3 linked regions of the Canis lupus familiaris genome follow. The protein of the gene in region 2 purifies or fractionates together with the protein of the main gene of each other region. This does not show direct contact. Links are inferred from orthologs where the notes say so. Each region holds a gene or a part of one and is shown on either strand. Other genes may lie near its edges.

Region 1 (7,726 bases), on a different chromosome or scaffold from region 2:
CGCACAGGCCCACGTGGCCTAGGCCGCAAGCAGCATGTGGAGGAGCTGAAGCCACAGGGTCAGGCCCGGGGAGCGGGGGCCCTGCCTTCCTTCCTCAACACACAGGGCTGCCCAGGCCCCGCTCTCGGGGCCCGGCCTACACCCCACAGATGCTGGCACCAGACGCTTCCAAGGCTGAAGAAGCTCCAAGTCAACTGGCTGTGGATGGCGCAACGAGGGCCTGAGGAGCAGGGACAGGGGCCAAGGTGGCTTGGCCACAGCCAACGCTGCCACAAGGCCCTCAGCTCACCTAGTGCTACGGCGCCCCAGCTAGACTGCCCCATATCCAGCTCTGGCTGGGTCCCACCCTCTCCCTGTGACAACCACAGCTGTGCTGTCACTATTCCTGACTTCCCTGGGGCAGAAACAAACACCGGGCTTTGGGCATGGAAACCAGCACAAGCCCCTAAGCTCACTGCTCAGCAGCCCCTAGGAGAGTCCTGAGGTGTCTGCTGCCTGCTGGCAGGGGGAGAGGGGAGGTCTCGGGACCTGACACCCCACACCTTGGAGACACGAGCCTGGAGCTGGAGAAGCCTCCCCACGACTCAGACCCTCACTGGTGGCCTGGCCCTTTAACACCAGCCTGGCCACCCAGAAGGACCAGCCAGTGCCTCTTCCTGGGCTCCTTCAGGGGCTGCAGGCACTCACTCTGTCATCGCCAAGGCCTGGCAATCCGCCTCCTCTCCTAATGCCTCCCTCAAGGTCACCAAGCTGTCACCAAGCCATCACCAGCTCCCTGCGGCCACCCAAACCCTTCTGTGCAGCCTGGCTGGGCCACCGCTGCCCTCAGCACAGAGACTCTTAGTGATAGGTAGACATGCTTTCTTGACGTGGTTTACAAGGGAATGCGATGCCCACGTGGCTCCTGGATACCCCACCGTGACCTCCAGAACAATCCAGGTAACCACTGAACGCTGTGTCCCAGGTCACCAGCCTCCAAGGACAGGCACTGCAGAGCCCATCAGGCCCACAGAGAATGCAGGCCGACGGAACATTCTGATTCCAAAGTGAGACCAGCTCCACGTGCCAACAGGTGGCCTTCAGCCCCGGGGCTCAGGACACCGGCAGAGCCTGCAGGATGCCTGTGCTCTGGCGCTCCAGGCCTGGGCTGGCCGCTGAACGCCCCGTCCGCAGGGCCCTGCCCCAGCCCCACCATCACACCTGCTCCACAGTCCTTCGGAGCTTCCCGGGGAGGGGATCCCCGGGTGGCTCTGTGGTTTGGCGCCTGCCTTTGGTCCAGGCCCGTGATCCTGGAGTCCTGGGATCGAGTCCTGCATCAGGGTCCCTGCTTGGAGCCTGCTTCTCCCTCTGCCTGTGTCTCTGCTCCCCACCCCTCTCTCTATGTCTATCATGAATAAATAAATAAAATCTTGGAAAAAAAAAAAAAAGCTTCCTGGGGACCCAGCCTCCCAGTCCTCCCCTCCAGGGCCTGGGTGGGTTAGCACAGGGGCATAGGAAGGGGGAAGCCAGAACCCCTGGACGGCCAGGGCCTCCAGTTTTTACTTCTTGTTTCTTCCAAACACATTCTGTTCATCTTCAAAATGGCACAAGACAAGATGCTCAAGTTTTAAAGCTCAACAGCTGATAACACACTTGATAACAAAGATCTATAATATTTAGAAACAAATATGATTAAATTTATGTGTCTGAATAAATCATGCTTTAGATTTAATATAAAACATGTTAAAATTTACATGCATGCCAAGTTCTATCAGTTTAGCACATTTTAAAAAGACACAAGGGGTTGTCAGCCCAGCTGGTTGTCCCCACCCCCATATGGCCACATGGAGCTCCTGGCCCCTGGCCTGCTCCCCCACCTAGGGTGTTGGCACCACGCAGGGCTGGGCAAAGGCTCCGGATCAAGGCCCTCAGGAACGCACCAATGATTGGGCCAGGCGTGTGCAGCTGACAGGCTGCCACGGCCTCCTCACAGACCTCCACTGGCTATAGGCCTGGACCACCAAGTCCACCCCACCCCCAGTGCTGACCCTCTGGGCCCCTTCACTGCTGCAGTGCCGAGCCGGGACTGTCCCCCATTCCCACTTACTCCTCCACACCTGGCCATGGCAGCGGTAACAATGAGGCAGAGAATTTAAGTTGCTCTAAATGGACCCCCACAACTCTAGGGCAGATCTAAATCCAAAGGGAGGACCTGCGCTCAGACCCACTCTGCCTGCCAACCCAGCTCATTCTCCAAGAGCGTCCTGGTGTCTTAGCAAACAGGGACTCAGGAGGCAACTGCTTTTTCCCTGCTCTTTTGCTGGTGACTCTCAGACACCCCTCCATCAGGTATAGGGGTACACTGACCCACCAGACCAGGCTAGAGGAGCTGCACAGGAAAGGGCGTCACCATCCATGTGCTGGGAAAACCATACAGAGCAGAGAGCAATGGCCTGCAGACGGTGTCCACAGTCTGTCCATCCATCCCTGGTCACCACACTGCAACCCGGACTCTCCTGCCCCCGCCCCGGCAGCTAATCCATCTCCAAGTCACCACAGCTCCTTCCTCCAAGAGATCTGCTTTGGATCTGTTCCCTTCTCCTCCTTGATGCACCTACCTGTGCAGACAGCCACTGGGGCAGGGTGCACCTTCCCTCCTCCCACTCAGTCCTGGGGTAACCACCGGTAGCCAGACTGGGGCAGGGACTCCGTGGGAGACACCTCGGGGAACACACCCCGAAAGCTCTGGCCCTCTCGGCGCGGCTTTTACTCTTCCCAGCCTCCTGCCTGGCCCGGGCCGTACTTCAACAGAGGAGTCCGCCTCCCTGCCTGCACTGTCCCCCGCGAGGTGTGGGGTGGGGGTGGGGGTGGGGGGGTGCTGCACAGGCTCCCGCTCGGCACCCGAACCTCACCTGCCCGGCCCTGGCCTGCGAGTCGCCCCCTGGCCTCCCCTCAACGAGCCCCCTTCGTGCCCCTGCACCTGCTGCTCCCTCACCGGGCGCCTCCTTCCCCTCGGGTCTTGGTCTGGCGCAGTGCCCCCTCCTCCTCCGGGGTGCTTGCCCTTTCGCAACTTCTCTTCTATCCGGTCTTTCGCTCCCCACTGCGATGGCAGCACTGCCCCTGTCCACGCTCAGGGCCAACGACCGCGTGGGCACTCCGCACCTCTCCTGCCCAGCTCTCTGGGCAGCTGGCGCCCCGCGAGACCCCACAGTCCGCAGCCAGAGGCCACACAGCCCTCAGCACCCCCGCACTGCCCCCGTCGGGCCGCGCACTGTCCCGCACTGCCCCGCCCCGCCCCCGCCCTGCCCCGCACCGTCCCCTCCGGTCCCCGCACTGCCCCCGCCGGCCCCCGCCAGCCACCGCACTGTCCCCGCCGCCCACCTCACCGCCCCCGCCGCCCCGCGCGCTGGAGCGGGAACCCGGGCTGCTAGTCCAGTGCGCACGCGCAACGGGGGGGCGGGGCCGCCGCTGCGTTAACCCCCTCGGCGCCGGCCCGGAGCCGCCCGCCCTGCGCGGCCCTCCCGCCCCCAGCAGTCGGCCGGCCCCCTGCGGCACGCAGCCGGCCCAGGGTCGCCCCAGATCCCCGCCTCGCGGGGGAGACAGAAGACGAGGCCCCGACGCGGCCCGTCGGGAACGGCCGGGGCCCTTTAACACTCCCTTCGCTCCCTCCATTGGCTGAGGCGGTCACGTCATCGCCGCGCGCCGGAGAGCAGCGCCTTCCCGCTCCCTAATCCTGACGCCAGAGCGGCGCCGGCCTTCGAGGCTGAGGAGAGCGGGCGGAGGTGGCGGCGGCGGGAAGATGTAAGTTGGGGGAATCCGACCCCATCCGAGCTCCGGGGGCCGCCCGCAAGGCTCGGCGGGGCGCGTGGTGGAGCCGGCCCGCCCCTCGGCCTCTTGGTAGGGACGGCGGCCCGGCGGCGCGACAGCGGGCGCGAGAAGAAAGAGTGTGGCCCGGGGCTGGCGGAGTGGGAGGCGCCGAGGCCGCGGCCCGGAAGTGGTCGGGGCCGCGGCGGGCGGAAGGGCGCTCACGTCGGCCCCCTCCCCCTGCGGCGGCCCCGGCAAGGCCCGCGGGATTCGGAGCCGCCCTCGGGCCGGCCCTGGGCTGGGAGTTGCGGGCGCCGGCGGACGGGGGCGGCGTGGGTGGAGTTGCCCCGTGGGGGGCCCGGGAGGCGCGGGGACCGCGCCGCTGCCGCGCGGGCGGGCGGGCCGCCCCACGAGGGGGGCGCGGGAAGGAAGGGAGGCCGCGGCCCTTCTTGGCTGTCGCATGACTTGTGCCAAAAACGTGCTTTTTAAGTGGGGAAGGTGCCCCGAGGACGGGGCCGAACGCCATCTGCTCGAGGTGTGACTAACTGTTCTCTCTCTCTCTGGCTGTTGGACGCGCACCTGTCCGGAGGATGGGGGAGGTAACCCAGGTCCTGTGCCGCGACCCGAACTTGTGTGGACAGAGCGCCGCGGGCTCTGCTCCCCAGGCCCGGCCGCGCCCGCAGCGCTTAGAGTCCGGGGCTTCGGGTGGTGCTGGTGGTCGGAGGGCCCTGGGGTGGGGCCCGGGGGTGCGCCCTGCCGTGGGTGCTGCCCCGGCAGGCGGGCGGCCCGGCCTGGGCCTGAGCCTGAGCCTGGGCCCGGGCCTGGGCCGGGTGGAGGTGTTGGAGAGGTCTGGCGCCCGCGGGGGAGTAAGTGTATCACGGGTGGGTCTTCACTGCCTGTACGTTGGAGAGATGGTATTGGGGGCGTGGGGTGTCAATACTTGGCTGGATCCCTCGTTAACCTCCTTGTGTAACGGGGCTGCTGGAGTGCTTGAGGACGTGCCGGCAGCTCACGCTCTTCTCCTGGGACAGGGCCGCCCTGGGTGATCCTCTTAACGGGCCGTCCAGCATTCAGGAGATCGTGTGGGCCTTTGGGAAACAAGAGTTTATGTAGGGGAAAGCCTGCACACGGGGAGGAGCACCCCTGTCTTGTAACATGAGCGGGCATTTAATTGAGCCCTAACTAGATGCCAAGTTTCCTTCCATGTGAGTAAACTGGGTTGGTGATCTTGGTAACTACGGAGGTGTAGGAGCTGTATCCCCCAAAACGCTGATGAGAGGTGGAGACTCAGAACAGCTGTGGGACTTAGCCCCGGTCCCAAAGCAGAGCTTGGAATCAGACAGGCAGGCTGACTCCAGATTCCTGCCCACTGGACCGTACTTCCTGGTTGTCCAAGGCCACTGACTCCATCCAGTGCTGCTTGCTTACTACCTTACTGTTCCAAGGCAAAACGTCTTAAAAGATTGTACCAGCCTGGAGAGGAGCCTCAAAGGTGACACCCTGCTTGCTTCTGCTCTAATTTGATTGTCCAAAGCTGGCCTCCTTTCTTGAGTCACGACATTCATTTAGCATTTTGCACACCCCTTCACATGTGAGAACAGGATCCCGGGTGGTTGCCATGTCGATGTTACTGACAGGCTGTTGAAGATGAGACAGGAGGAGTTGACACCACCATTCTGCAATCTTCGCTTGCAGCTCAAGCAAATTGTAGAAAAACCTCCCTGGAAAAAATGAAGGTCGCGAGTCCCCCAGGAGACCAGGCACATGATGGTTTGGTGGTTACACTGACCACTCACAACTCATGCTGTGGTGCGGGCACTTGGTGAGACCCTTAGGAGCAGTGCCCTCCAGTTCCAGTGAATACCCGCATAACCACCACGTAGAACCTACAAGTTACATTTCTGCCATATTTGCTTTGTCATAGAACAGATCGCCCATCCACGTTTTTTGTTGCATTTTGAAGTAAATAGCAGGCTTTGGTGTACTTTCCCCATGACGCTTCCATGTGCATATCATTAATTAAAGTTCAGCATTTGCAATGATTGCTTTCTAACTTAACTATTTTACTACTTTTTCAGTGTTCTTATGGGACATTTTATCTGTTTGCATTTGGGTGTTAATGTTTAGATGCTGGTACTTGTCACTTTTGAAATGGTTTTTGATTCTAGTCATGGTATGTTCGATGTATCCTACAAAGAAATTGCAGCAGTAAAACCTGAGATCTAATCACACCAGTGATCCTATCAGGAGAGCCACACTTGACTCTTCTGTTCTGCATGCAAATGTGGTGTTGTAACATTTCTAAGGGAATGGTAAAGGGCTTATCAAACTTAGGAGTGAAAAACAGGTATTGTACCACCTGTAAAAGAACAGTGACAGGCACTACCACCCTTTCCTTAAGGAAAAAACAACAAGGTGAGGTGAAGGTCTACCTGTGGGGGCAAGACCCTCCCTGAGGAAATGGAGGAGATCCCATATGTTCCTGGCTTTGTGGACGCTCGCTGCTTACTGTGTTCCTTGCCATCTTGTGTGCTCACCTTTTGACTGCAAAGTAGATTTGTTGCCTTGCCAACTCGTTCACTCTGTAAATCCTTTTATCTTGTTATTAGGCTGCACTTTGGCGTAAATTGCAATCGATTAGGGATCGTTTCTCAGACTCGAGTTAGAAGTGAGAGTTCAGATAAGTGAGGCCACCATTGCTGCTTTGAACACCTCAGAAGGGGAGAATGGATTTATCAGGAGTGAAAAAGAAGAGCTTGCTAGGAGTCAAAGAAAATAATAAAAAGTCCAGCACTAGGTAATCCTTCTGTCAGATTTTTCTAGTGCTACTTTGGGGGTGCTCATTACTAGGGACCCTCAGCAAGGGGAAGAATGGAAATGACTTACGTTCTACAGTGACGTGTCTTAAGCCACAGATCATTTTGCTCTGTGATCACCTGGGATCTCTATAGCCCTTTGGATCCCCTCTTTTGGGTAGTTTTGTTTTAGGGTTTGGTCAGAGGGGCATGCGATCTCACACTCTTCCTCACCATCCAGGGCTCCTTCTCCTACCAAACGCAAAGACCGTTCTGATGAGAAGTCCAAGGATCGTTCTAAAGATAAAGGGGCCACCAAGGAGTCAAGTGAGAAGGATCGTGGCAGGGATAAAACTCGGAAGAGGCGCAGCGCTTCCAGTGGTAGCAGCAGCACCAGGTGGGACCCGGCAGGACAGAGCACCCCTGAGCACCCGAGAGGGCTTCTCTTCTGTGGCCACGCCCCTTTCCCTTCCCAGGGAGCTGGCAGGGTGCTCTGTGGTCTTCGTAATTTACCAACATACTCTGAGGTGGTTCATCAAGGCCTGGATTATGGCAGAGTGGTTTGAGTTTGCTCTGGTTACATATGGAAGATGGTGTTGAGGTGTTTTCTGGAGATGTTAAAGACTGGGACATCTTGGGGTATAAGTTTCTCTCGAGTGTTTTTTTGTTTAGAGTTGTGATTGGATTGCTCTAGCCTAAAGCTTATTTTTCCCTCAGTTGAAAACCAGCCCGAGTCCCTGGGTAGCTACCATCCAGGCAGGGCTGGTGCTTCTGGTTTGCCAGACTCTGTGCCTCCCAGTAGGTGAGGCTCCTGTATGGCTAGGAGGTGGCTCTTTCCTGTCACTGCACAGTGTGATTTTCTGTCCCTACCTGGGGTTTCAGCTGGGCAGGAGTGGGGCCCTCCGAGGAGGGGAGACATTGAAGCTTGGAAATGGGAGGACATTTACCTCTTGGGAATAGGAGCAAGTATGGGCTCATGTGTGGGAAGAAATACTCTCGTGCACTGTTGCCCCTGACCTCACCGTCTCATTTGTCAGGTCCCGGTCCAGCTCTACCTCCAGCTCAGGCTCCAGCACCAGCACAGGCTCCAGCAGTGGCTCCAGCTCTTCCTCAGCCTCTAGCCGCTCAGGAAGTTCCAGCACATCTCG
Region 2 (7,821 bases):
GCGTTAAAATCCAATACCTTTGAGTTTTGGCCCATATTCTAGTTTAATATGCCTTGTAAGCCATTTGGTTTCTGTCCCTTCTCCAACTTCATTACTATATTCACAACTTCATTCTGTATTCCAACCACACAGTTCTGGGCCCTCTATCTGGAACATTTCCTTCAGGAAGACTTCCCTTAGGCCCCTAGATTGGATTAGGAGCCATCCCATGTGCTTCCATAGTAGTCTGTGCTTCCTCTATTTGTAACCGTTGCTTCTACATTATAATTGCTTGTATGCTCAACTGCTTCCTCTGCAAGTTCTATAAAGGTCTGTCTTGTTCACCATTGTATTATTCCCAGCACATAACAATAAGTGCACAGACCATGTTCTTTCAGCTATACCATGTTGTCTCATGCCCCCAAACCTGGATCCAGTCTGACTGGTGTCCAGTTCCTTTAAGTTTTCTCAAAACGTTTGATATTTGCCACATCTGCAGATGCCCAGATTCAACAGTTAACAGTATAATTTTTATAAGTTCACTCTTGGAAAATAACTTCGTGGTAATTACCTGATGAATCTATATACTTAATTGAATTACCGCCTCAAGACTGTTGTGAGGATTCAAAGAATAAGCATTTGTAAATGGATTCACATTTATTAGGTGCTTAATACCTCGTGGTTCCCTTCTCTTTTTCATACAATTCCCTTGTTACCACCCATATCCCATGCTTTCTTTTTTTAAAGATTTATTCATTTATTAGAGGGGGAGGGGCAGCAGGAAAGGGAGAGAGAGGGAATCCCAAGTGGACTCCCTGCTTGGGAGGAGGGGGAGGGCCCAACATAGGGTTTGATCCCGGGACCTCAAGATCATGACCTGAGCCAAAATCAAGAGTCTAATGCTCAACCAACTGAGCCAGTCAGGTGTCCCCCAGTGTGTGTGTGTGTGTGTGTGTGTTTAAATAAAACACCCTATAGTTTTATAGCAATTTACAGTTGGCAAAGTATTTTTCCAATTTCCAAGATTTTGTTTTCTATTCTTACAACAGTCCTGCCAGATGTATAACATTATTTTTCTCATTTTATTTTTTATTATTATTTTTAAAGACTTTATGAGAGACAGAGAGAGAGAGAGAGGCAGAGACACAGGCAGAGGGAGAAGTAGGCTCCATGCAGGGAACCCGATGCGGGACTCGATCCCGGGACTCCAGGATCATGCCCTGAGCCAAAAGCAGACAGACGCTCAACCACTGAGCCACCCAGGCGTCCCTCATTTTATTTTTTATTTTTATTTTATTTTTTTGTCCCTCATTTTAAAGATAAACTTGAGTGAACCTCGAGATTCACTGATCCTAGGAGAGGAAGGGACTGATGACTGTGGCGTGGAAGGTTAGTTCACACCTTCGATCATAGCGAATCAAATCACACAAGGATTATTTTAACACAAGCTTCCAGTGATTTTCCCTCTTCACACCCACTCTACACCAGTTATTTTTGGGGGGAAGAAAAGGAGTAATGCTAAGACTGGGAATGAGAATCAAGAGGCCACTGACCTCAATGAAGAACAGTATACAATTACAGTGGTCAGGCCCCCAGAATGATGCCATCTTAGCACGGTCTCTAGACCTGATTTCACAATTCCCTGCTCTCACTGGAACTTCCACGAACTAATGCAGTTTCCTAATAATTAGGGTTTTGACTGTCCTTTGCCTACTCAAGGAGGAAAATTTTCCACAGCCTGAAAGACTTCACAGAGGTCAACCAATTTGGCCTGAAAGGACAAGGGGCTCTTGGGCATCAGTCCTGCCCCGTTGTTCATCTGGGGCGGGGGGGGGGGGGCGGGGGGGGTTTGCAAAAAAGTACCAACGCCCAGGTTCAGGGCGGCGAGAGAACCTGATTGTCTGGTTTGGGGTGGGGCCCAAGCATCAGTATTTTTAAGATGCTCCCGAATGACTCCGTTGTGCAGCCAGGTCGGAGAATCCCTGCCGGGTAAGCAGAGCCTAGAAAACGAGAAGGGGAAATTCCATATCCAGTTTAACCTCTACCCGCAGCACCTGCTCTAGAGACCAGTTAAGTAGAAAGGGAAAGGTAGGAATTAAAAAAAAAAAAAAAAGTAAAAGTAAAAGGGATAAAAGGGAGAGGTCAGTTCCAGGGAAACGGCAGCGGCACCACGGATTCAGGAAAGGCGTCTGTGGGGAGCGTTTCCGTGAGCAAAGTTCGGCCGGAGCCAACTTCTGACCCACGCGCCAGCGCGTGCGGCGGTCCGTGGGGTCAGCTCCTTCATCACCGACGGTGAACAGCTGTCTCGGGCTCGCCCACGTTGGGCCCACGCACACGGAGGTCGAGCCTGGGGCGCAGCCCTCGCGGAGCTCAGCCGGACGTCGTGAAGCAGGGTCCCCAGACCCGCCGCCCAAGCCCGGGCGCCCTCGCGTCGCCTGCGGCCTCGAGCCTCGGGAAACCCGGGGGCGACCCGTGGCCGCGCTCCCGCCGGCGGCCGAGGGGGCGGGGCTGCGCTGACCCCGCCTCCGGGCGACGGGGCTCTGGTTTCCGCCGGGGGATGCGCCAGACTTGCCGCCACTTCCGGGAACGCAGACGGCCTGGGCCGCTTCGCAGCGACCGGCAGCCTCGCCTTGACGTCACATCCGCGCGCCCCGGTAAACGTCAGTGTTGGGCGCACAGCGCGGCGACGAGGTTTGCTGGTCAAGTTTCGTCTCCGTTGCCTCCTTATGAACCATGGAGAGTGACTTTTATCTGCGTTACTACGTGGGTCACAAGGGCAAGTTCGGCCATGAGTTCCTGGAGTTTGAGTTCCGGCCCGACGGTAAGAGCGGCCTCTGGCCCCGGCCGAGCGAGGACGGGGCCTGGGGTCGGGCGAGCGGGGAGGCCCGGGCTCCGGAATGTGCGAGGAGGAGCTAGGAGAGGACGGGACTGATGACTGCGGCGCGGATCTGAAAGGGCCACTCCTGTGACCGCTCCGCTGGTTCTTCCCATGTGCACGAACTTTTTTTTTTTTTTTTTTTTTTTTAACTAGAATGCTTCATTCAGCAGACACTGATTGCATACTTTGTGCCAGGCTCTCTTTCACAATTTGGGACAAGTTTCCTCTCATAGCGTATATATTCTGGTGCTGGGAGAGATATAAACAAACAAAGATTTCAGATAATGACGAGTGGTCAGAGCATGAAACAAAACGATGGAGTAATTGCTAAAAAGTGGACTGCTTTTAAGCAGAGTGGCCACTGGCGTGCTCTCTGGAAAGGTAGTATTTGAACTGAATCCTAAGTGACAAGAAGGAGAGCCAGCTTTGTGAAGCTCGGGAAGAAGGGCATTTTGGACAGAGGGAGTAACAAGTGTTAAGGCTTTGGGGCATGAACGAGCATGTTCCAAGTGGCCAGTATGGCTGAGGAAGTAGTGAGCTCCGAGGAGAATAGTAGGAGACAATGTCAGATAAGCAGGGGTACACCATGTAGGTCTTTACAGGCCATGGTGGAGAGTTTGGATTTTATTCTAAGTGCAGCAGGAAGCAACTGGAAAGTTTTAAGGAGAGAAGAGATGTGATCTCTTCCTGAAAAAGTATTCTAATCATGGAGTATGATTAGAAATAGAGTAATGATTAGAAAAAGTAATCTATTCTAATCATTGCAAGAGTGGAGACAGGGCAACTTATTAGGAGACAGTGAACAGTTGTCAAGGTAAAAAGGATGCTGGTTGGGACTAAGGTACTATCAAAAGCGCATAGAAGGGTTCAGGATACTGTTGGAGGCAGAACCAATAGGACGTTGCTGTTTGATAAGATCTGGGGGAAGGACCACTGTGGGGAGGAAAAGGAATCAAAGATGACAAAAATAAAAAATAAAAAACCTCCCACTAAATGGGGGCACAAAGATGAATCTGACAAGCCCCAGTTGTAAACAAACAATGATAGGATAGTGTGTTTGATGCTGTGGTACAAAGAAACGGAAGGGACTCTGGAGCAGAAAGAAGGCAACCTAACCTAACCCTCAGGTAGCCTGAGGATGGGAGAAAGCTTCCTGCATAAAATGACTTGGGGGAAGAGGAGTGATAGTCTTAGTAATGTGCAGGAGTTGGTTAGGCATTTGGACATCAACATCAAAGAAGCTGAAAACCAAAAAGTGCATGGGATGTTTCAAGCAGAAACCAAGTAAGGTGGTTAACTCCAGCTGTGTAAGAGTGGACTATTGCAGGAGGGAGCCTGAAAGGCAGGCAGGGGCTCAGCTTAGCAGTTATGCCATGTTGAAGAATTTGGATTTTTATCAAGAAGGCAGTGAGAAGGGATCCCTGGGTGGTGCCAGCAGTTTAGCGCCTGCCTTTGGCCCAGGGCACTATCCTGGAGACCCGAGATCGAGTCCCATGTCAGGCTCCCAGTGCATGGAGCCTGCTTCTCCCTCTGCCTGTGTCTCTGCCTCTCTCTCTCTGTGTGACTATCATAAATAAATAAAAATTAAAAAAAAAAAAAAAAGAAGGCAGTGAGAAGCTATTGTCATTATCAAAGTGTTAGAGTAACCTGGGGCACCTGGGTGGTTAAGTAGTTGAGCGTCTGCCTTTGGCTCAGGTCATGGTCCTGGGGGCCTGGAATCGAGACCTGCATTGGGCTCCCTGAAGGAGAGCCTGCTTCTCCCTCTGCCTATGTCTCTGTCTCTCTCTCTGCATCTGTCATGAATTAATAAAATCTTACCAAAAAAAAAAAGTATTAGAGTAACCTAATTAGATTGGTCTGTTACTACATCACTTTGTCTACCGTATGGAGAATGAACTGAACCAAGAGAGACAAGGCAGAGATAGTGAGTGCAGTGAGGCATCAATTAATCTGGCTCTTTTTACATGTGTAATCCCAAAGGTAAAAATTCATCTATTTCCTTTTCTCTTCTTTTCCTTCATATCTAGCATATAGCCTTTTGGATGCATATACACACAAAAGGCCTTGTATACCAAATATGCTTAATAATAAAACCAAAACTTTTCCACCATAGGAATAGATCAGAGTATTGCATGGTCACATGAATAATATGTAAACAGCATTTTACAATTTTCAAACTGCTTTCACAATTCATCTGAGCCTCAGGAGGCCTTATGTGCAAGTAAGTTACCATCACTATCCCTGTTTTCAGCTGAGGACATTAACCTGCAGAGATATGATTTGCCAGAGTCACAATGTTCTGCTTATGTTCTTTTATCACACCTGAGCTGCCTTTTGCAAGAATTATAATTCAATGTCAGCAATATTCTGGCTTTGAAGCTACTTAATAGCCGAAAATAAAGAACTGAAAGACTGCTATTGTTGGAACATCAGAAGTTTGAATAGTAAATCTGGTAGACGCTGAGGGGAAAGCTAGGATACATTTTAAGCAACAGCTGATAGTCTTGGTGAGCTAATGAAGCTTTATTTATACGTTTTTAATATACACTGAATTTGTTTTTTCGCTCCTCACAGGGAAATTGAGATATGCCAACAACAGCAATTACAAAAATGATGTCATGATCAGAAAAGAGGTAATGAGCCTTCTGAGAGCCTTTCTTTCACTACAATTTAGCCTTTTGTCATGTTTTTGTTCTTTCTGGGAGTAAGTAGTATTGAAAAAGAATAGAGAAGTATAGACATATCTATAGACACCTTCTAAAATTTTTCTCACATCTTTTAGTTTATATTTTCTTTTACAATGTTAAACCACTTTTGTAATCATTTAAAGTCTTGCAAATCTTGGTTTAAACCCTGAATCTGCTATTTACTCTATGCCCCTGGGCAAATAACCTGGCTTGATAAGTTTTAGTTTCTTTGTCTGCAGAAACAGATATAATTAACCTGCCCCCCCCCCCCCCCCCAGTGCTATCACAGAATTAAATACATTATACCTAAAGTGTTTTGTGTATTTCCTGGTGCATAGCTTTCAGAAGAGCTCTTTAATTTGCATTTGGATGGGGGAAAGGGAACATGGGAAAGCAGTTCACATCATTGAATGCAGGTTAGATGCCAGGCTTGGCACTTGGTGTTTTACATATGATTTTATTTCACCCTGATTGTAAGCCTTTTTGATTAGCGGTATTATATACCCTTTACAATGAAGGCCCAGATGTTAATTATGGGGCTTGTTCAAAGTCACCTCATCCTGACGAGCAAGAGATAGAGTGGGAATTCAAAGCTATGCCTGCCTCTGTCAAGTCCATGTGCTCTATTTTGCTTAATTTCTGCCTCACTATTGAGGCTTCATCAAAGCTTCTCTTTCCTTTTAACCACTTTGTCACATTTGAAAATGTCTTAACAGTTACTATATCTTCATACTGTTATGTTTAACTAGCATTCAGTTTTATGTTTACCCACATGTCTCAGCCTGCTTATATACATATATATTTTATGTGTGGACTGATATACAAAATGTATTTTAAAAGATGTGTCTCTGGTCTTCATAAGCATGTCATCTCGGTAGGAATAACCAGGGTTCACTCACAGATCTTTTGTTCTGGGTTCAGGTGTGAATTCAGTCTGTAAGCAAGGAGAAGTTCCAAGTGAACAGGATGTGCCAAGAAGTAGAAACCGGTAGATGGGGTATGATGTATAGTCACTGGGCACTTCTGGCCCTGCCCTCTTGAGCATGCTGAGGTCACACCTGAATGCCATCTACCTTACAGTGGTGCCAGAGACCAGTTTTTATTAGCAGGTTTTTTTTTTTTTTTCTTTTTAATCTTTAATCATTATCTGAGTCAGAACACTTGCTTAGGGATGCAAGTTAAATTCCATTTTTTAATTTGCTTTCAGGCTTATGTACATAAAAGTGTAATGGAGGAACTGAAGAGAATAATTGATGACAGTGAAATTACCAAAGAGGATGATGCCTTGTGGCCTCCCCCGGATCGAGTGGGCCGGCAGGTGAGTGTTAGCAACTGTCCTATAGAGCAGAAGTTTTAAGAAGTAAGAGGAGTTTTACTGCCGTGCGTATGACATTGAATCTGTGTGTATGTATTAATGGAGCCCTACACAAAGTACATTACCAGCACATTTGTCTAAGGAAGCAGTAATCCCACAAGAAGGAACAGAAAGCCAGTGGTGCTTCCTGACCACCTGCATTGGTGGATTTCTTCATGACTCTTCCCCCTGCCAGCCCTTCTCAGAGGTTTTGTTGCCCACCTCACTTACTGAGTAACTACTATGGACAAAGCATTGTGAACATACAAAGAGAACCAGAACATGGTTATTTCAGCAGTCTAATGAAGGAATATCATGCAAGCAGCTAGATATATGTGTTTTAATTCATGGCTTATATATTTATTCTGAAAACCATTTATGGTAATTAAAATAAAAGCCACTGTCATATCTGTGTTAACAAGGAAGCTATTTCTCTCCACTTCAACTGCTACCTTCCTAATTTAGACTTATAATTGATTTCCTTTTTTCTTTTGTCCTGTATAGCCCATTTTTCTATCCAGACTAATCTTACAAAATATAAATGTATTCCACTCATTTTAAGTTCTCTGCTATCTTCCCACTATATCTGAAATAAAATCTGAACTCCCACCTTATCTTCTACCGTTTTCATAGTCTTTTGCCGCATTCAGACCTCACTCACCTTATTTCTGTTCCTCAGACACACCTAGGTTGTTCTTAGATTAGGGCATTTGCATTTGCTGCATCCTGCCTGGAATGTTCTATCCAACATTGTCTTTATTAGTGTAGGTTTCAAACATCTTTTCCTCAGTGATGTCTTGCCTATCCATCCAACCTAAAATGTCCCTCCCTATTGTTTTTTTTTTTTAAAGATGTTTTATTTTCTTTGTAGCATTTATTATTATCTGAAATTGCTTTACTTGCTATATCCCTTTTCCTCCCCC
Region 3 (7,982 bases), on a different chromosome or scaffold from region 2:
AGAGAGAGGCAGAGACATAGGAAGAGGGAGAAGCAGGCTCCAAGCACCGGGAGCCCGACGTGGGATTCGATCCCGGGTCTCCAGGATCACGCCCTGGACCAAAGGCAGGTGCCAAACCGCTGCGCCACCCAGGGATCCCCTTTTTATCTTTCAATACTGGAAAATGTGACCCACCAGGGTAAAAAACAATCAGGTTGCTTAAAAAAGGATATTAAGGGCTGATCGTAACAGAAATATGAAAAAGGACTATGACAGCATAAAAACAAAAACAAGTTATCAGTTTGGCTCAATGATACTTAACTAATAACCTGTGAAAACAACATATAGGAAGGTACAATTACCTAGATCACTTTGAATACAATATTAATTTACAAAATTCAAGTAAAAATTACTGATGCAGCAATTACTCTAAAACTAAATTACAGGGATCCCTGGGGGGCTCAGCGGTAGAGCATCTGCCTTTGGCTCAGGGCATGATCCTGGAGTTACGGGATCAAGTCCCACATCAGGCTCCCTTCAGGGAGCCTGCTTCTCTCTCTGCCTGCGTCTCTGCCTTCTCTGTCTCTCACGAATAAACAAATAAAATCTTTTTTAAAAATACAACAAAGAAAAAAATACAACAAAGAAAACTCCTTACTAGCAATATTACTTAGGATAAAAAGATTATATAATCTTCTTAAAAAAGCAACAAGATGGGGTGCCTGGGTGGCTCAGTCAGTTGAGCGTCAGCCTTCAGCTCAGGTCATAATTTTGGGGTTGAGCCCACATTACAGCTTCCTGTTCAGTGGGGAGTCTGCTTCTCCCTTATCCTCTGCTTCTCCCCGTTTGTGCAGTTTGTGCTCCCTCTGTCTCTTATTCCCTTTCTCAAATAAAATCTTAAAAAAAAAAAAAAAGACCATAGCTTAAAAAAACCACACACACACCACATGATGATGGACAACTCTAAAACAAAAATCAAAGAATATACATTTTTAAAGTTACTACAGTGAGGTTCAAACTCAAGCCTAGCTTAAGAATTGCTGCTCTTACTGCCACTCTTCAACACTGCAACTAAAGACTTTCCCAAAATGCAGAAATAACTTGTCACCTGGGAGAAGTAGGTACTTTATTCTGTAGTCACTGGAAAGCCAAGTCAAGCCTAACTTAGAGTTCAAAGCTTTCTTTAATTTGATGCAAACCTTTCTTCCTCTCAGCGCAGAAGGTTCCCAATACATTAACAAGTCCTACTTCCCACCTACCTCAGCCAAACAATGTATCCAAACCTACCCAATCATTCAAAAGTGAGTTTAAGCGGCCCCTTTCTGTGAAACTTTTAATATTTCCAATATAATCTCTCAATAAATGTTAATACTCAGTACTCATTAGGCATTAGGTACTGGGGATACCAAGAAATAGTTCCTGTACACATCAGTCTCAACGTGGATAAGAAAACCTTGGGCAGCCCGGGTGGCTCAGCAGTTTGGCGCCGCCTTCCACCCAGTGCGTGATCCTGGAGACCCGGGATGGAGTCCCACGTCAGGCTCCCTGCATGGAGCCTGCTTCTCCCTCTGCCTGTGTCTCTGCCTCTCTCTCTCTCTCTCATGAATAAATATTTTTTAAAAAACCTTAACACAATAGAATATTCTAGTATAATAAAGAGCTACAGTAGCACCTAGGTAAGTAAATAAATAAATAAATAAATAAATAAACCCACCAAGAAATCTGCTCCAGGCTATCAGAGATGACTTATTAAGGGAAAAGAGAAGAGATGCACCATGAACCATTCCAGATCTTTAGGAAAGTATCTCTATGTAAATATTATGCATATTTCCACTAAACATTGATCATCCTTTACCAAAAACTCACAGTGACAGACTGTCTTATACACAGTGCTGTTGTTAACTGAATACTGCTATACTTTCTTTATAGCATCAGTTAATTCATACTGTAGCAAGATTCCAAATAAAAAAGCAAACTTGGCCAATCAACTTCAATCTTCTATAGACCAAAGCTTTTAATTGAGTCTCAAAAAAGCAGGAAACCTGATCCAAACCTTGATTTCCCTGTCCAAAAGTATCTTTATGATTAAAAATATCAACAAACAAGTGATCAAAGCCACAAACTGCCCCCAATGAACAGCCTACTCCTGAATAAACAAGAGCAACATCTTCAGTTTCTAATTATTTTGCAAAAGGTTACATCCGGATTAGTCTAAAGACAGAAGAGTAAGTGCCTAAACAACCTTCAGGGCTAAAACAGTGTTTAAATCCTAAATACCGGGCAGCCCGGGTGGCTCGGCGGCTTGGTGCCTGCCTTTGGCCCTGGGCGTGATCCTGGGGTTCCGGGATCGAGTCCCGCATCAGGCTCCCTGTGGGGGAGCCTGCCTCTCCCTCTGCCTGTGTCTCTGCCTCTCTTTCTCTGTGTCTCTCATGAATAAATAAATAAAATAAAATATATATCTCATATAAAATAAAAAATATCTCATGAATAAATAAAAAAATATAAAAAATAATAATAAAATAAATAAATAAATCCTAAATACCTACCCCCACAACGAGAAGAGTATTAAAGTCACTGCCCATTAATTAGCATGTCGCAGAGAGCTGGACTTCAGTTCTGGCGGGGAACACAATTATTCCAGGGCATTCACATCCTGGTCCCAACCAACCTTTCCAGATTCGCCTACACTTTCCCTCCCTGCAGCGCCACAGTCCACTACTCAAACACACTTTTCAGGACTCCTTGCCTCGTTACAAGATGTCCTCTCAGGCTCAAATGTCCTCCCCTAATTTAAAACGGATTGATCCGTTTAGGCCAGGGACACGTCACCTCCTCTATGGAAGAGTCCTACCTAGGCAGGAATTAATCACTCCGTTACCCAGAATCCCAGAACATGCGGCCTGTATTTCTATTTAAGCGTTAATTTGCCTCATGAAAGAATGAAAACGTATACACACACACACACCTGTCTCCCCAGGAGCCTGTAAAACTTTGCACGGCCTTACTCTTTGTTACTTCGGACTCACACGGAGCCAGCACCTGGAAACGACCCGTGAAAATACAAATGACTCCTGGAAGCCTCCCGTTCGACGAACGCTTCAGATTCCAGGTCAGAAAAAAAAAAAAAAAATCCTAAGGAACGCGCCTCCCAATGCCCATGCCTCATCTTCTCTGAAGTGACCCTATTTCCTGTCATTTCTGGAAACTGGATACTCCCTCAAGAACTCCGGCTTATTCTCAGCATTTTCCTAAATTCCGTGTTCTCCGAATTCCACAAAACGATCAGGTACCTCGAAAGCTTTGACCGCTGGGAATAATAACGTGCCTTTCCCTCTTCCACCAATCATCAGTCTCCAAGGGGGGGGGGTGGGGAACAAACACCAATATACAAGTGATCACGGGAAGAAAAAACTACCAGATTTTATGTCCAAATCACTTCATACAAAAAAAAAAAAAAAAGTATTTTAGATGCCTGATTAGCCGAGACGAAGAGGAACGGGCCTCAAGCAGGCTACGCTCGAGTTGGCGCTGCCGAAAAGCGGCTGCCGTGTTCCCGGGCTCCCCCGACTCCCCCGGGCACGAACTGCGCCCGCCACAGTTCCGTGAGGCGAGGGCGACTCCCGGCTTTCACGCCCGTTTCCCCGATTCGCGGCCCTGGCCTCCCCCCCGGCGAGCCGTCTGAACGAGGCCTTCCGCTCGGAAAAGAGAAGCAACTCTGAAGGAACAGGACCCAAACGCGGAACAAAGCGCCTGCCCGCGGTGGAGGAGTAGGACGCCATTACGTGGGGCAGTGGCCTGCGCCGCTAGCGCCGAGGAGCCGACCAGGGCCCCCACGCGCGGGCGCGGCACCCCACCAACGAAACCACAGGCCGAGGCAAAAACCGAGTAAAATCGAGTCTTGGCAGGCTGGCAGCAGAGAAGACGCGGGAGCACGGGAAGACGCCTTACCTTCGTGGGTCTTGGCGATCTTCGCCATTTTGTCCACTCGAACACACAGACGGAACTGGCGCTCCCCAGCACTTCCGCTCGCCGCCGCTGCCACGGAGAAAAATAGCTGGGGAATGCTCTCTGCGCGTGCGCCAAGCGGGGGCGCGCGCCGCCGCGCGACACGTGACGGAGCAGCCGCCTAGAGGGAACAGAGCGATGCATTGTGGGGGAGGGGGAGGAGCCAGGGCCCGGCGCGGAGGCGGTTTTCGCGGTGGCGGGAGGAGGAGGGCTAAGCGAGTCCTGACGCGGGGGCGGGGGCGGGGGCGACGGCGACTGCTCTGGAGGGAAGTGGGTTGTGCGAGGACCCGCTGATAGTCACTGCGAGAGACGCTGGATTTCAGGCCCGTCCGAAGCCTCAGGCCGTCAGTTCTCGTCCTCCACGTCGAGCGGAGGTGTGTCGGTGCCAGGCGAGAGCTCCTGTGGCGTCTCTCAGCGGCTGCAGTGGGTAGTTGTGGAGACACACACCAGTCACGTCCTTCGCGCTGAAATTCAAGGTCATTTTTCTTTCTTCTTAAAGAATTACTTGCCATTTGGGTAGGAGTTTCGTGCACAACATTATTATTTCCAGACACTGTTGTACCTCACAAACAACCCAGGAAAGTGGGCGAGTTGTTGCTAATCCCATTTAAGAAAGGAGAGGAAAACTAGGGCGGGGGTGTAAATAAAATATGCAAGGTCACACCCTTACTGAATTACCCGGGAGGAACTGTGCCGTCCTTTTTTAAAGCCTTTTAATTTCATAGGTTCTTAGAAAACCACTGGCTGTCAGCATTAACACTGATGGAATGCCTTTCTTTTTTTTTTAATTTTTATTTATTTATTTATGATAGACACACAGTGAGAAAGAGAGAGAGGCAGAGACACAGGCAGAGGGAGAAGCAGGCTCCATGCAGGGAGCCCGACGTGGGATTCGATCCCGGGTCTCCAGGATCGCGCCCTGGGCCAAAGGCAGGCGCCAAACCGCTGCGCCACCGAGGGATCCCTGGAATGCCTCTCTTAATCCTAAATGTCACTCTTGAATCAGGAATTTTTAAAAGCTCCAAATATGGCTTTTCTTTTTTTTTTTTTGCCTACTCCTCAATTACAAAAGCATAATTTTGAACTGCCACACTGGCCTTGGACTTTAGGATTAAAAAAGAACATAACTTTGAGGGGAAGTTGGTACAGGAAGCAGCCTAAGGAAACAGGTAAGGATTAAGGTTAGAGCTATCACCAAAAACGTTTGCCTGGCTGTGTAACAGGATCACAACATGAGTATTTAGTAGAAACTTTAGTAACAAAAATGGGACTTAGTATCAATGAAAAAAATCAATTTGATGAGAGAAAATTTTCAATTTTCAATTGTTTTAATTTAGGTTAAACAATAGTTGAGGGAGGAAAGGGTTAAGAGAACATGTAGATTGTTTTTTTAAAAAAAGATTTTATTCATGAGAGATAGACACAGGCAGAGGGAGAAGTAGGCCCCCTGCAGGGAGTCTGACATGGGACTGGATCCCAGGGACCACAGGGGTCACGACCTGAGCTGAAGGCAGACACTCAACCCCTGAGCCATGCAGGCGTCCCAAGAACATGTAATTTTATGAATTATTGGTAAACTCTAGTTGTTGAATTGGCAGAGTGCCCACAGATATTCCTTACATAGTTTATAACCTACACATAGATTGCACATATTCTTTTATATATATAAAATAGCATGTTTTAAAATAATGAAAAAAGGATGAATGGGAAATAAAGAATTACAGAAGGGTGTTATGATCCATCAATAATCAACAATCTAAAAAAATCCATGTTGACAAAAAGAATCACAAGGACATGGCATTTCTTGGCTCTTATTTAAAAATAGGAAGAAAAAAAAGAAAAAAGAAGAAAGGTAAATTTGTATATACAAGACAATCACTGTCCTGTCAAAATATATGCAAAGGAAATTCACCAAAGTGTTAATAGTGGATGCCTATGACTGGTGAAATTATGAACTTTAAAAATAATTTTTAGTATTTTCCAGATACTTTGCTATAAGCACATTTTTATAATACACAAAAGGAATATATTAAAAGATGGAATGCCTGGCCAGCTCAGTTGAAAGAACATGCGACTCTTAATCTCACAGTGGTAAATTTGAGCCCCACATTGGGTGTACAGATTTCTAGAAATAAACTATATTTAAAAAAAAAAAAATGAAAAGCATGTGCAAAGGTGTCACATGTCCTTTTCATTCTAAGATAGAAGCTGCATCTGCTGGCCACTTTGTATTATTACATGCATATTTCTCTAGGTTACTAGGTATTAAGTTAACTTTTGTAAGTTTTTTTTTTTTAATTTATTTATTCAGAGAGAGAGAGAGAGAGAGACCAAGAGGCAGAGACACAGGCAGAGGGAGAAGCAGGCTCCATGCAGGGAGCCCGACACGGGACTCGATTCCGGGTCTCCAGGATCAGACCCCGGGCTGAAGGCGGCGCTAAACCGCTGTGCCACCGGGGGTGCCCTTAAGTTAACTTTTGTAAGGCAAAGGCCCTATGGAATAGTGAGGAAAGAGAAAATTTGCCAAAGGAGATTCCCTTCTTTTAGTCTTCTAAAGACTAATTTATCTTTAATAAAACAATGACTTGGACATTCAGACAGGAAGTAAGTTTTTCAACAAGTACCTTTTACTTTCCACTTTCAATATTAATAAATAATACTCAGATATCATTTAAAATACATTTCCTGCCCTTTTCTGGTGAAACTTTTTGTTTCAAAAATTAGAAAAGGTGATCTGGTCTTTTGTAATCTAGACAATTAACAGTGATGTCATCCAATGTCTTTTTTTTTTTTTTTTTTTTTTTTTTAATTTACTCACGGAAGACAGAGAGAGAGGCAGGCGCCATGCAGGGAGCCCAACGTGGAACTCCATCCCAGGTCTCCAGGATCATACCCTGGGCTGAAGGCGGCGCTAAACCACTGAGCCACCAGAGCTGCCCTGTCATCCAATTTCTAAGGAAAATCCATTCCTTTTGAAGTAAGCTCTACATCCAATATGGGACTTGAACTCATGACCTTGAGATCAAGAGTTGCATGCCCTACTGACTAAGCCAACCAGGCACCACCATTCTTTTACTTATCAGGGGTACTTGGAGGCTGGCTTTTTTGAGTCTCAAAAAAATATTACAAAGTAGCAAGCATACATAATTTTTCTGGGCAAAACAAGATATAATAATTTTGCAGAATGTTAAACATATAACTTGTTCAATTTACCTTTGGGAAATGAAACTATAAAGGCCTTAAAGTTCTGTGCTATGGGAAAGCCACTGACAGTTTATCAAGACATCTTTTCTGAGGTAAAAGGAGGACTGTTATGGATAAATGGCCCACAATCTTGATGTGTAATGTTTCCTAGCAGTCTCCGGTATCAAAAGAATATCAGACTCTACCTACCCAAGGCCTAAATCCAAAACTTTCTGTTTCCCTTTCAGTTATGCCTGAAGTTTGAAAAGTAGTCTTATTTTTGAAAATTTAATGCATTACTCAATTAAATAAAAGATAACCTTGAGACGATATTCTAAATAAGTCAGTGTGCCTGTCATGCCTGACTTTTCCTTTTAGCTTCAACTTACCTCACCAAAGTCTCTGCTCAGGGAAACAGAACTGGGTTGTTCTCCTGGAAGAAAGAGGCACCTGGCCAGCCACATAGAACCTGGTTTGGAATACAGGACATTCTACCCTTAAAAATAGAAGTTATTGGCTAAGCCAAAATTCCTTCTCTTGGAAATTTGAACTGGAAGTATGAAAGGAACTTGCTGGTTGCTATTGAAACAGAAAGAATCAAAGGAGAATGTCACTTTAATGACATAAGACAGGAATCACAAATTCCTGCTGCTCAAATCCCCACGGCTACCCTAAATCCAGAACCATCTCCAGCCCCAAACTAATGGCCCATTCTTTAAATAGTACTGCTTTTCTTGAACTAACTTGGATAGATTTCTCTTCCTTCCAGCTATGCCAGGCCTAACTAGAACAGCAGTATATTAACATCTCAGCAT

The links.
Region 1: the proteins of MAGOH (region 2) and RNPS1 purify together in Homo sapiens (co-immunoprecipitation; 3 studies listed by BioGRID and IntAct, with this or other methods). This does not show direct contact. The link is inferred for Canis lupus familiaris from reciprocal best matches to the Homo sapiens genes MAGOH and RNPS1.
Region 3: the proteins of MAGOH (region 2) and SF3B1 purify together in Homo sapiens (co-immunoprecipitation; 3 studies listed by BioGRID and IntAct, with this or other methods). This does not show direct contact. The link is inferred for Canis lupus familiaris from reciprocal best matches to the Homo sapiens genes MAGOH and SF3B1.

The regions. Positions count from the first base shown.
Region 1 is NC_049227.1:39,160,964-39,168,689, forward strand, and holds the start of RNPS1 (RNA-binding protein with serine-rich domain 1), read left to right. Parts: upstream 1-3,640; 5' UTR 3,641-3,778; coding exon of another isoform or gene 3,779-3,780; intron 3,781-4,299; exon of another isoform or gene 4,300-4,318; intron 4,319-6,392; 5' UTR 6,393-6,509; coding exon 6,510-6,580; intron 6,581-6,819; coding exon 6,820-6,975; intron 6,976-7,615; coding exon 7,616-7,726. UniProt on the Homo sapiens protein: Part of pre- and post-splicing multiprotein mRNP complexes. Auxiliary component of the splicing-dependent multiprotein exon junction complex (EJC) deposited at splice junction on mRNAs.
Region 2 is NC_049226.1:56,147,859-56,155,679, forward strand, and holds the start of MAGOH (protein mago nashi homolog), read left to right. Parts: upstream 1-2,582; 5' UTR 2,583-2,712; coding exon 2,713-2,800; intron 2,801-5,431; coding exon 5,432-5,490; intron 5,491-6,751; coding exon 6,752-6,862; intron 6,863-7,821. UniProt on the Homo sapiens protein: Required for pre-mRNA splicing as component of the spliceosome. Plays a redundant role with MAGOHB as core component of the exon junction complex (EJC) and in the nonsense-mediated decay (NMD) pathway.
Region 3 is NC_049258.1:6,837,857-6,845,838, forward strand, and holds the start of SF3B1 (splicing factor 3B subunit 1), read right to left. Parts: upstream 4,087-7,982; 5' UTR 3,956-4,086; coding exon 3,928-3,955; intron 1-3,927. UniProt on the Homo sapiens protein: Component of the 17S U2 SnRNP complex of the spliceosome, a large ribonucleoprotein complex that removes introns from transcribed pre-mRNAs.